Arabidopsis thaliana: one gene and its partner. The protein of the gene in region 1 interacts with the protein of each later gene in a pairwise test. Each region holds a gene or a part of one and is shown on either strand. Other genes may lie near its edges. The genes, in order: NYE1 and PAO1.

The links.
Region 2: the proteins of NYE1 (region 1) and PAO1 interact in a protein complementation assay, tested with the Arabidopsis thaliana proteins (one study listed by BioGRID).

The regions. Positions count from the first base shown.
Region 1 is NC_003075.7:12,015,814-12,020,394, reverse strand, and holds NYE1 (non-yellowing 1), read left to right. Parts: upstream 1-1,751; 5' UTR 1,752-1,788; intron 1,789-1,860; 5' UTR 1,861-2,425; coding exon 2,426-2,566; intron 2,567-2,683; coding exon 2,684-2,857; intron 2,858-3,051; coding exon 3,052-3,219; intron 3,220-3,295; coding exon 3,296-3,619; 3' UTR 3,620-3,932; downstream 3,933-4,581. Other genes in the region: PYR4 (pyrimidin 4), read right to left, coding at 1-78, 148-284, 400-581, 774-922, 1,051-1,080. UniProt on the Arabidopsis thaliana protein: Magnesium chelatase involved in chlorophyll a degradation in the chlorophyll-protein complexes of photosystem I (PSI) and photosystem II (PSII). Contributes to the degradation of PSI and PSII in the thylakoid membranes.
Region 2 is NC_003076.8:4,419,258-4,424,800, forward strand, and holds PAO1 (polyamine oxidase 1), read right to left. Parts: upstream 3,839-5,543; 5' UTR 3,718-3,838; coding exon 3,675-3,717; intron 3,602-3,674; coding exon 3,352-3,601; intron 3,271-3,351; coding exon 3,148-3,270; intron 3,068-3,147; coding exon 3,006-3,067; intron 2,928-3,005; coding exon 2,773-2,927; intron 2,371-2,772; coding exon 2,227-2,370; intron 1,987-2,226; coding exon 1,837-1,986; intron 1,539-1,836; coding exon 1,284-1,538; intron 1,202-1,283; coding exon 965-1,201; 3' UTR 903-964; downstream 1-902. Other genes in the region: CYL1 (alpha-N-acetylglucosaminidase family / NAGLU family), read left to right, coding at 1-115, 185-422, 501-579, 664-902; SMT1 (sterol methyltransferase 1), read right to left, coding at 4,791-4,842, 4,948-5,045, 5,135-5,260, 5,350-5,433, 5,519-5,543.

The DNA of each region.
Region 1 (4,581 bases):
AGGCTGCAGAACTGTCTCAATGAAGATTTTCTCGCGGTCAAAGACATCGATACTCGGATCTGTGACCTCCCCATGAACCTAATCAAAACATTCCTCAGACAAGACAAAGACAAAAATACAAGTCTATGTGGTGTATGATTTATTTACCAGCAAAGGCATGTTTTGTTTGACCATCTCTTCTAGTACCGGTAAGCATTTTCCAAAGAGATCCGTGACACCATCTTGAGAGTTGGTTGTTGCTCCGGCAGGGTACAGCTTCACCGCATAAACCACACCACTTTCCCCTAATAACAAGATCATATATGCATAAACTGAACATTAGCAAGTAGAATCTCAATCAGAAAGATGAAAATGTATCTGATTAGTTTGCAACAAGATGGAGAAAGCACAGGTACTTACTTGCAAGCCTGATCTCTTCAGGTAGAGTTTTGTCAGTCAAATAAAGTGTCATAAGTGGATCAAAGCTACTCTCAGATGGCAAAGCTTTCATGATAAATTTCCGGTAAATAATGGCAGCTGCAGTGGAGGTGACAGGAGGCTTCAGATTCGGCATCACAATCGCTCTCTTAAAATTACTCGCACTGCACATAATTACATACACCATTAACCATCATGTACAGCACAAGCATCAACGCCAGCACAAGATTGTGATTGAGGAATTCATACATAACAAACAATGGTTCCACAAGAAACACCAATAGCAAACAAAAAAGTGGCTGCAAAACAAAGTAAAGCAAGGAAAGAAAAGAAAGATTGCAGGATGTTTATAAGACCTGTGGGGAACAACAGCATGAAGAAGATCACCGTCACGGAGATGAAGATGCCAATCATCAGGTTGAGTGATTGTGAGCTCCATTCTTACTGCTCTCGTCTTCACTTTCTCAGAAGATCTGTCAAACTTCAACTTCTGAGATCCAAATCCCTACATAAAGAATAAAATAGTTGACTTTAACAGACGCATAGGAGGAATTAAATAAAATTAAAACTGGATCACGTGGATTGAACTAAACAAGAATAAGACTCAAAGAGTGGTGGAGGTAGAGTACATACACTATAAGGAGAGACCAAAGTCTTTATCATCTGAAAGCTGCTCAAGGCTTTGCAAGAATTCACCTGTTCCAAAGCAAATGACAAGTAGACTCAGATTCTATAACATGACCTTAAAAAATTGACTCTGTTCTAAAGTATTAGCAGGCACTAAAACTATTCAATCATCATCAAAAGATTTCGCATTCCTTTGGTTCAATGTTTCTCCAAACGAAATTTAGTATCCAGATTAATCAAATTTCTATACACACAAATGGGTATCAGCAAAATCCAAAGAAATCAAATTATCCAAACAATAAACCACAAAATGGCGAAACTGGTAAACACCTAGAAACCAAAATCGAAAACTTGAACTTGTTTAGGTAAGCAATACGAACCTGGATAAACGAAATGCACAACAGGGATGCTTACAACACAAACAAAACGAACCCCAAAAAGAGTGATTTGAGGAAGAGATTGAAGGAGAAAGAAGAAGAAAAAACAGTACTCGTGTTTTGTTGTTTACAAGATACGACGTCGCTTAACGTAAAAGAAGAAGAAAAAAATAAAAGCTCTGTAACAGGCCAGCCCAATTTTAGCCCGATATTTTTAATGGACCTGGACCTGATCACAAATTTCAGCCCTTTTTAACATCCTTATGGATCAACATGGGACTCTCTGACTCCTCCGGTTCCATCAATACCTGCGTTTGTTGTCCTTGTTCACGACGATTCAAGCGAAGAAGCCTCTCGAGTTTCACAGGTCTAATAACTAAACCGAGTAATCGAGTCGAATGACATTAAATTGAACCGAAACTAAACCGTATTGCTTTAGGTTCGACTGACAACTACAGTACGTGAGTTAGGTTCGGTTAGAGCCGAATCTGTGTCTCTTTGTCGCAACGAGATGGCTAAAGTTATCCAAAAAGACGGTTAGAGCCAGTTGTTAGCCCCACCATGACGACACATGGGGAAGCTCATGCAAAGATTAGAGAACACGTGGCACTCTCTCGTGTTCAGAAAAATTCCAAAAGAGTGTTCAGATTTGGGCACGGAAGTGTGAAACGTGAAGCAACAATCCCTTTTAAACACAAGAACCAACTCAATACGCATCACAAAGAACCCTAAATTCCTGGAAGATCTCAAAAGGAAAATTCAAAACCAAAGCTTCAAGCAATCATCAAGCAAAGGAAAAGCTCAAATTTTGGGTCTTTTATATATTTATTTCTTAAAGTTACAATCTTTTTGATTGTGGTTTCAGTGTACGAACACGCAAGAACTCGCGTGAAAAAATTGTATCCAAGCTTCGTGAAAGGAGTCTCTCTGTATTTAGTGGCGTTTTGTTCTGTTGTTATTTCTGAAATATTGAAGCTTTTGATTTGGGTTTCAAGAGAGCAGAGATGTGTAGTTTGTCGGCGATTATGTTGTTACCAACGAAGCTGAAACCAGCTTATTCAGACAAACGGAGTAACAGTAGCAGCAGCAGCTCACTCTTCTTCAACAATAGAAGATCCAAGAAGAAGAACCAATCGATTGTTCCCGTAAGGATTTGTTCTCTTAATCATTTTGACATATCTTTGTTTTATGTGTCTCAGTTATGGATATATCTATGCCTCTGTCTTTATTGATGGAACTTGAAACTTTTGGGATCGGTGCAGGTTGCAAGGTTGTTTGGACCGGCGATTTTCGAATCATCCAAATTGAAAGTACTCTTCTTAGGGGTTGATGAGAAGAAGCATCCTTCAACGCTCCCTAGGACTTACACACTCACTCACAGTGACATTACAGCTAAACTAACCTTAGCTATTTCTCAATCCATAAACAACTCTCAGGTAAAAACACCTCTCTCTCTGGTCTTAACATATCTACATGGCTCTGTTTATAGGAGTAGAATGTTTATGTATTTGATTATTTGGAGCAAATATTAGAGGCTTATGTATGATTGTTTTAACCTATGTATGTGTCTATATTCACCAGAATCTCTTAACACTTTAGAGGCTGATATGTATAGAAATGTTTTTTATAGTTGCAAGGATGGGCAAATAGGCTATACCGGGATGAAGTTGTGGCAGAATGGAAGAAAGTGAAAGGGAAAATGTCGCTTCACGTTCATTGTCACATAAGCGGTGGCCATTTCCTTTTAGATCTCTTTGCAAAGTTTCGATATTTCATCTTTTGCAAAGAACTACCTGTGGTAAGTTCCCAAATTCATAAGAAACTTTTTATTGGTTTCATGTAAAACAAAATGTTTATTGTTTTGATATATACAGGTGTTGAAGGCTTTTGTGCATGGAGATGGGAACTTGTTGAACAACTATCCTGAGCTACAAGAAGCTCTTGTTTGGGTCTATTTCCATTCTAATGTCAATGAGTTCAACAAAGTCGAGTGTTGGGGTCCGCTTTGGGAAGCTGTTTCGCCTGATGGTCACAAGACTGAGACTCTTCCCGAGGCTCGGTGTGCGGACGAGTGTAGTTGTTGTTTTCCAACCGTTAGCTCGATTCCATGGTCTCATAGTCTTAGTAATGAAGGTGTAAATGGTTACTCTGGGACTCAGACTGAGGGAATTGCTACTCCAAATCCGGAGAAACTCTAGTGACTAAATATCAAATTACAAGTTTTTCTTTTGGTAGTTTGTACAAAGTGAAAAGGAAATGGCAGGACTTTCCTTTTGGTGGATCTAAATATTGGTTTGGTTTGGTGTACATAATGTGGTATAGGAAAATAATGATTATTTGTAGGTTAAATACAGATTTTAAAGTTTCAAATGGTATTTTGTGTCTACTCTGAAGTCTTTATCATAGTTGTATACTTGTATTGTATCTCATCCACAAGATCAAAATGTAAATTTCTTACAGATTAGCTAATATTAAAGGTGACAGACTGGTATAGTACTACTGCAATGCAAACATAAAGATGAATAAATTGTTGTTTAATGAACATATATATTTTAATATATCAAAACATTCATGAGAATCATCACCAATTTAAAGTTATACTAATATCCCAAATAAGAATAGTTTAGAAATATGAAGATATTCATGAGAATCATCACCAAAGTAACAATAGACGTATATTAAGGACCGAATTCGTCGGTGTAACGGTGAGAAACTAAGGAGAAACGTGAAGGTAAAGAGATGGCAAAAGACTTTGTCTCTCTGGTGGTTTTGCAAAGCGTATCAGCCACTTCTTGCTCCTAATGATTCCAAATTATTTTCTTGGATTTATTTGGTCTCTTTCTTCAATATCTTTTTCATTTTATAACCAAATCAAGATGACTTTTTTTCTCTGACCCCATTCGTCTATCTAATTTACGACCAAATACACCAAATACAGAAAGAGAAGAAGAACAAGTAATATAAGAGAATGGTAACGAATTATTGCATTATTATCATGGGCTTATTTTATAAAATGTTGTGTTCGTAAGTAAATAAATACAAAAGAAACTATATTTTGATATATGAAGAAAAATTGAATAAAGATATACACTTTGGAAAATTTTGGGGGAAAATGTTGTGCATCTTGATGGAAACCCAAAGATCGTGATTAAATCAAAAG
Region 2 (5,543 bases), on another chromosome or scaffold:
ATAAGACCGCTGATTTGCCTAAGGCCCATTTATGGTATTCTACAAAGGAGGTGATCCAAGCTCTCAAACTTTTCCTGGAAGCTGGGGATGATCTGTCAAGGAGCTTAACATATAGGTAGATGCAAGTAGAGATAGATTATCTACCATTTTAGTGGTTACAGATTCCTTTGGGTTTTGCTTGCAGGTATGACATGGTTGATTTGACGCGTCAAGTTTTATCGAAGCTAGCAAACCAGGTGTACACCGAAGCAGTGACAGCTTTTGTAAAGAAAGATATCGGAAGCTTAGGACAATTGAGTGAGAAGTTTCTGGAGCTTATAAAGGACATGGACGTTCTACTTGCTTCGGATGATAATTGCCTTCTGGGGACATGGCTGGAGAGTGCAAAGAAGTTGGCCAAAAACGGTGATGAAAGGAAACAGGTGTAACATCATTCTTGTTCTTGGAACGTGCGGGTAGAAGAAGTAGATTACTTGCTCACTTTGTTTCTCTGTGTACAGTACGAGTGGAACGCGAGAACGCAAGTGACAATGTGGTATGACTCGAACGATGTGAACCAAAGCAAGCTTCATGATTACGGTAAGATATAAACTTAAAAAAAAAGATTCTCGAGTGGATAGAGCTTTTTAAAAAACTGTTATGTTTTATGATCATCATCATCAGCAAACAAGTTCTGGAGTGGGTTACTTGAAGACTACTACTTACCCCGAGCGAGGTTGTATTTTAATGAAATGCTGAAAAGTTTAAGAGATAAGAAGATATTCAAGGTAGAGAAATGGCGAAGAGAATGGATAATGATGTCACACAAATGGCAACAAAGTTCATCAGAGGTCTATCCAGTTAAGGCAAAAGGAGACGCGTTAGCTATTTCAAGGCATCTGTTGAGTAAATACTTCCCATGAGTTTACTCAAGAGTAGCTCAAACGAATAAATAAAATAAACAAAAGGGTTGGGTTTCTACTTTCTAGCTTGTGCCTGAGATAAATTTAACATTTGTGTAAATTTGAGAGTTATTAGGCTTCTGATGTGTTAGTGTAAGAGACTCGGTGAAGGCCAATAAAGGTTGTAACAACAAACTCTGCTTCATCTCTTCCAACAAAGATTTACTTGTGTCAATACCTGCAAGGTATCCTCCATGTACATACCCACTGAACTTTTCACTTGTGTGTTCTCCTGTAAAGAATATCCGTCCAACTGGGGCCTGAATAAACATAAACCTCTTAAATTTCTGACAGACATGTGTATGTGTGTGCGTCTTAATAACAACAACAAAATGTGTTTACCTTGATATTTTGCAGAAGCTGATTATCAGATATCATAGGGTAATTACTGTAGCTACCGCGTTGAAACCGGTTGTTCCACCACCTGGGGACAAGAATATCGGTTGCGTAAGGAATGGTGGCCCCAAACATGTCCCTGAGAACACTCATTGCCTCTTTCATCGTCTCCTGGTCTGATTGAGCTTCAACGCGCTTTGATTGTTCGTTGGTCAACGTCACCACCAGAATGTTAGAGCCCGGGTACGCATTTTCCATGTGCTGTTACCAAAAGCACACATATAAGCTTGAGAGGAGAGCAAGCAAGTTGTAGTATGCATACACATTATTATATTATTGTGTGAATTCTATACTCTTACCCACATGGATCATGCCGCTAGTTAGAGACACTCAAGATAATATAAAAGCAATGATAGTGTTAAATCAAAGGGACCCCCAGGTGTTTAATTTTAAGATTAGAGAGTCAATATGTGCCACGTTTCGACCTTAAGTGGAACGACCAAAAAGATGCATCGACATTAACAAACAATTACAATCTCATTATTAAGGGAAATTTAACCTGCCAAAAGGTGAAATAGCCGCGTTGTTCGTGTGCATAAATGAAAAACTCTTGACCAGGACCACATGGCCAGAAACATTGAGGGAATTTCAGGAAGATCTTGGTGTACACCATCACATCACATTTTTGTATAGCTTCTGTTTTCCATCTCTGTCACCAAATATAAATTTTGGATAGTAAGCATAATAATGCATATAGACACCAAAATATTTGACTTGCTATCCTAATGGCTGATACAATTTAATATTTCCCTAGATTCATGCACATTGATTGATTAAACATCTACACCTTGTATCTTTTAAAATGTTAAATAAGCATAAAAGGTAAGACCAATGAGTAGTTGATCATAAATTATGATTATATGAGAAGAAGAAGAGAAAGTAAACTAACGGGTAAAAGGGGTTGGAAGGAGAGAAGATCAGATTGGAGAACACCGATACTCGCAGACACGATCACATAATTAGCTTCGTATACGGAACCATCCTCTGTCTTCACCACTACCCCATTCCTAGACTGTTGCACCTCCCTAACTACCTGCCATTAATTCCCACAACTTCATCACACTATTGCTCCTCCAATATAGATTACTAATATAACACACAGCTTTCAAAGTTAAGCCAGCTGGTTTATGAGAGAGGCAATAAATACAACACGCTCATTCATGCATACCCCACAATAATGCTTCCCAAGAAACTATCAACTTTCAATAGAAAACTGTTACTATACTAAACAAAAATATAGCTACAAGGACCCGGAATGTAATCAATTCCACTATACACCAAAGGCTGAGAGAACCTTAGCAGAAAAAAAGATAATGCAAATCAATCAACCTAATAGAGAGTGACAACAGCTAAAAAGCAAAAGTAGCTTTCCAAATAACGTCAATATATACTCTTTTAACTCAAAACCTAATCAATATCAGAGATCTTACTATACCTGGTTTAGTTTGAGGCGGTAGTCCAAGATATTTCCATGTGAGGTAACGAGAAATTCCTCAGCCATTTTATAAAGTAAACATTCGTAACCTCTTTCATCAGCAACCAAGAACTCTCTTTCACCAAAGTCTACATAAGTGGATATTGGCTCTACCTCTGAAATTAGTAGTATAAAGAATCAATCAACCAATCAATCTGCGACATTATTATCATGTGTGTTTCTCAAGAACTCACCAGCCATCTCAAAATCATGCAAGATAAAGTCAATGGCTAGTTCTATTGGCGTCTTCGGTGACCTAAACACCAAACCAAAACACATTAGAATCGAAGCAAAATAAAAAAACCAGTAAGCAAAACAGAGAGGATCAAAACGCACGAAGGAGCTTCTTCAGCTACTTGACCAGAACATTGAGCTTCAAGGCTCTTTAACTTGAGAATCGCCGAGTCAACCGCCTTTTTATACGAGTCAGAAGCGATTCCCGTCGGGAAGATTTTACCACTGCAAAATTCAATCAACGGAAAATAAATCTTTGATTCTTGAGGATTGAGTTACATTAATAATCAGGGGATCAGTTTTAACCTTCGATCGTAGATATTGAAACGAGCATTGGTGTAATCGGAAAAGCAAGTACGGAGGTTAAAACGCGAGGCAAGTTCCCAAACGGGATTAGACTCTTTACCACCGACACCGGCAATCCAACCGGCGCCAAGCTCCACCGGCACGTCACCGAAATTCTGTTTATGTATTCTTCCTCCGATCCGATCCGTCGCTTCCAGTATCAATACATCTTCTACTCCGTTCTCGACGAGAACCTTCGCCGCCGATATTCCTGAATTTCAAAACAAAATTCCGTTAGTTATTTTATAAAGAGCACGAGTGTTAATGGATGTTTTGATCCGAACCGGAGATTCCAGCGCCAATGATGATGACGGAGGCGGTAGACATTAGAGAGAGAGCGAAAGGTGTTTGTTAGTTTGTTGGTTGGGGCGAGAGGAGAAGGAGTTGGTTCGTTTTCGTTTCGTTTGGGGTTTATATATATAGAGAGAGAGAGAGGAAGGAGGAGGAATTCTACTTCTACTCGAACTTAAACACCTGAGAACGCGTGTATGTGACGCGCTTTGCGTACACGGTACCTGTGTCAGGGTTTTTGGCATCAAACAAGGCTAGTGACGATAATTGTTTTTCTCAGGTGTATATCTTATCAGGACGGGCCTGAATATTCTAAAGCCCAATAAAAGTTATGGCCCACTAAATGAAATTATTTTAAAGAAAATATTTCAAACAAGAGATTTGGTTGAGAGGTTTTTTTTTTTTTTTTATCGACTGGTTGAGAGGTTTTTGTACCCTCTAATACGTTTTGAGAAAACTATTGTCATTTATGCACTTTCTCATTAGGATGAGCTGCGAAGATGTTTTTTTACTCTTGTTCTGAATTATATGGAGCGACTAAGAAAATGCAAAAGAGATAGCAAGAAAAAACATTTCTTCTAAGTTGTTTTTATTCTGTTTACTTTTGACATTTTTTCCTCTGACTTGTCATAATTCAATCCACGATCAACAAATTAGTTTCTCCTTTATCAAAGACAGAGAATTGAATTCAAGAGAATTTTATAATCAGATCTATGGAGAGGTAGTGTTAAAAAACAAAACAAAAAACCATGGAGGAAAAACAAAGATTCTCCCTTATCATTAAAGGAGCGGACAAAGGAGGTGGTGTCAGCAAAATATCAGGAATCAGGAGGCCCCACTTTTGAATCTTGGCATAAAACGACAAAAGAAAAAGGTTTTTGAGATCTAAAGAGAAAGAAAGATTCCAAGATATTTTGGGCATGTGCACATGATTCAGATTTCAGGCAGAGTGCACATGAACAACACGTGACATGTTACGAACATCCAAAATATAGTTGGTGAATAAGAAACTCTGCAACAAATCCGATAAACATAGAAAATAAGACTGCAAATTGAGAAATTTTGTCACTTCATTCGACCTACGATGACCATCGCCATCTCTCATCCGCTTACTCTGGCTTCCGGGCCAAGAAGAAATACATTGGCGTGAAAATCTCTCTCCTGAGAAACATTTATCCAAGAAGAGATTTAGAATTCTACCCCAAAAAAGATAAATCTAAAGTGAATCTTGATGGTCTGAATAAATAAAAGTTGGGATCCTCTCACCTTCCACCGTCGACTAATCCTTCCGCAGCCTGCTCCAGGAAATTTGAGACCCTTTGGCTTCCTTGAGGTGCAAGTCTTATGTATTCAAGGATCTTGACCTACCACATAAATAACAATGACAAGTTCGGATAAATGAACTACTAATAGTTTATGGGATTTGGCAGATTAGTTAGAGCAAGTTTTTTACCATGTTTTTGGTTATGAATCGTCCAACAGCTGTAAGGCGGAAGCTACTGAGTGAGAAATGATTTTTGTCAAGAGGTAAGTACCATGGGACCGGCGAGTCCTTGGCCAGATCCTTTTCCCATATCACCTTCATCCAACGCAGAGGATAATAGTATTTAGATGTTGAAATGTTGATGTGTTTGGAAATACAGAGGATCCATAAAATCAGATACTTACTTCAAAACCGGCCTGCTTCAGAGCTTCGAGGCATTTTGTAGTCAGCCTAATGTCAGGAAGACCATCTCCAATCTCTATCTCTCCCTGAAAAATGGAGTCTTTGTTTGTATTCATGTTGATAATAAAAGCACAAATAAATAATATGGATAGATGCAAGGGACACACTAACCTTTATTTTCTGATGTTCGGCGTTA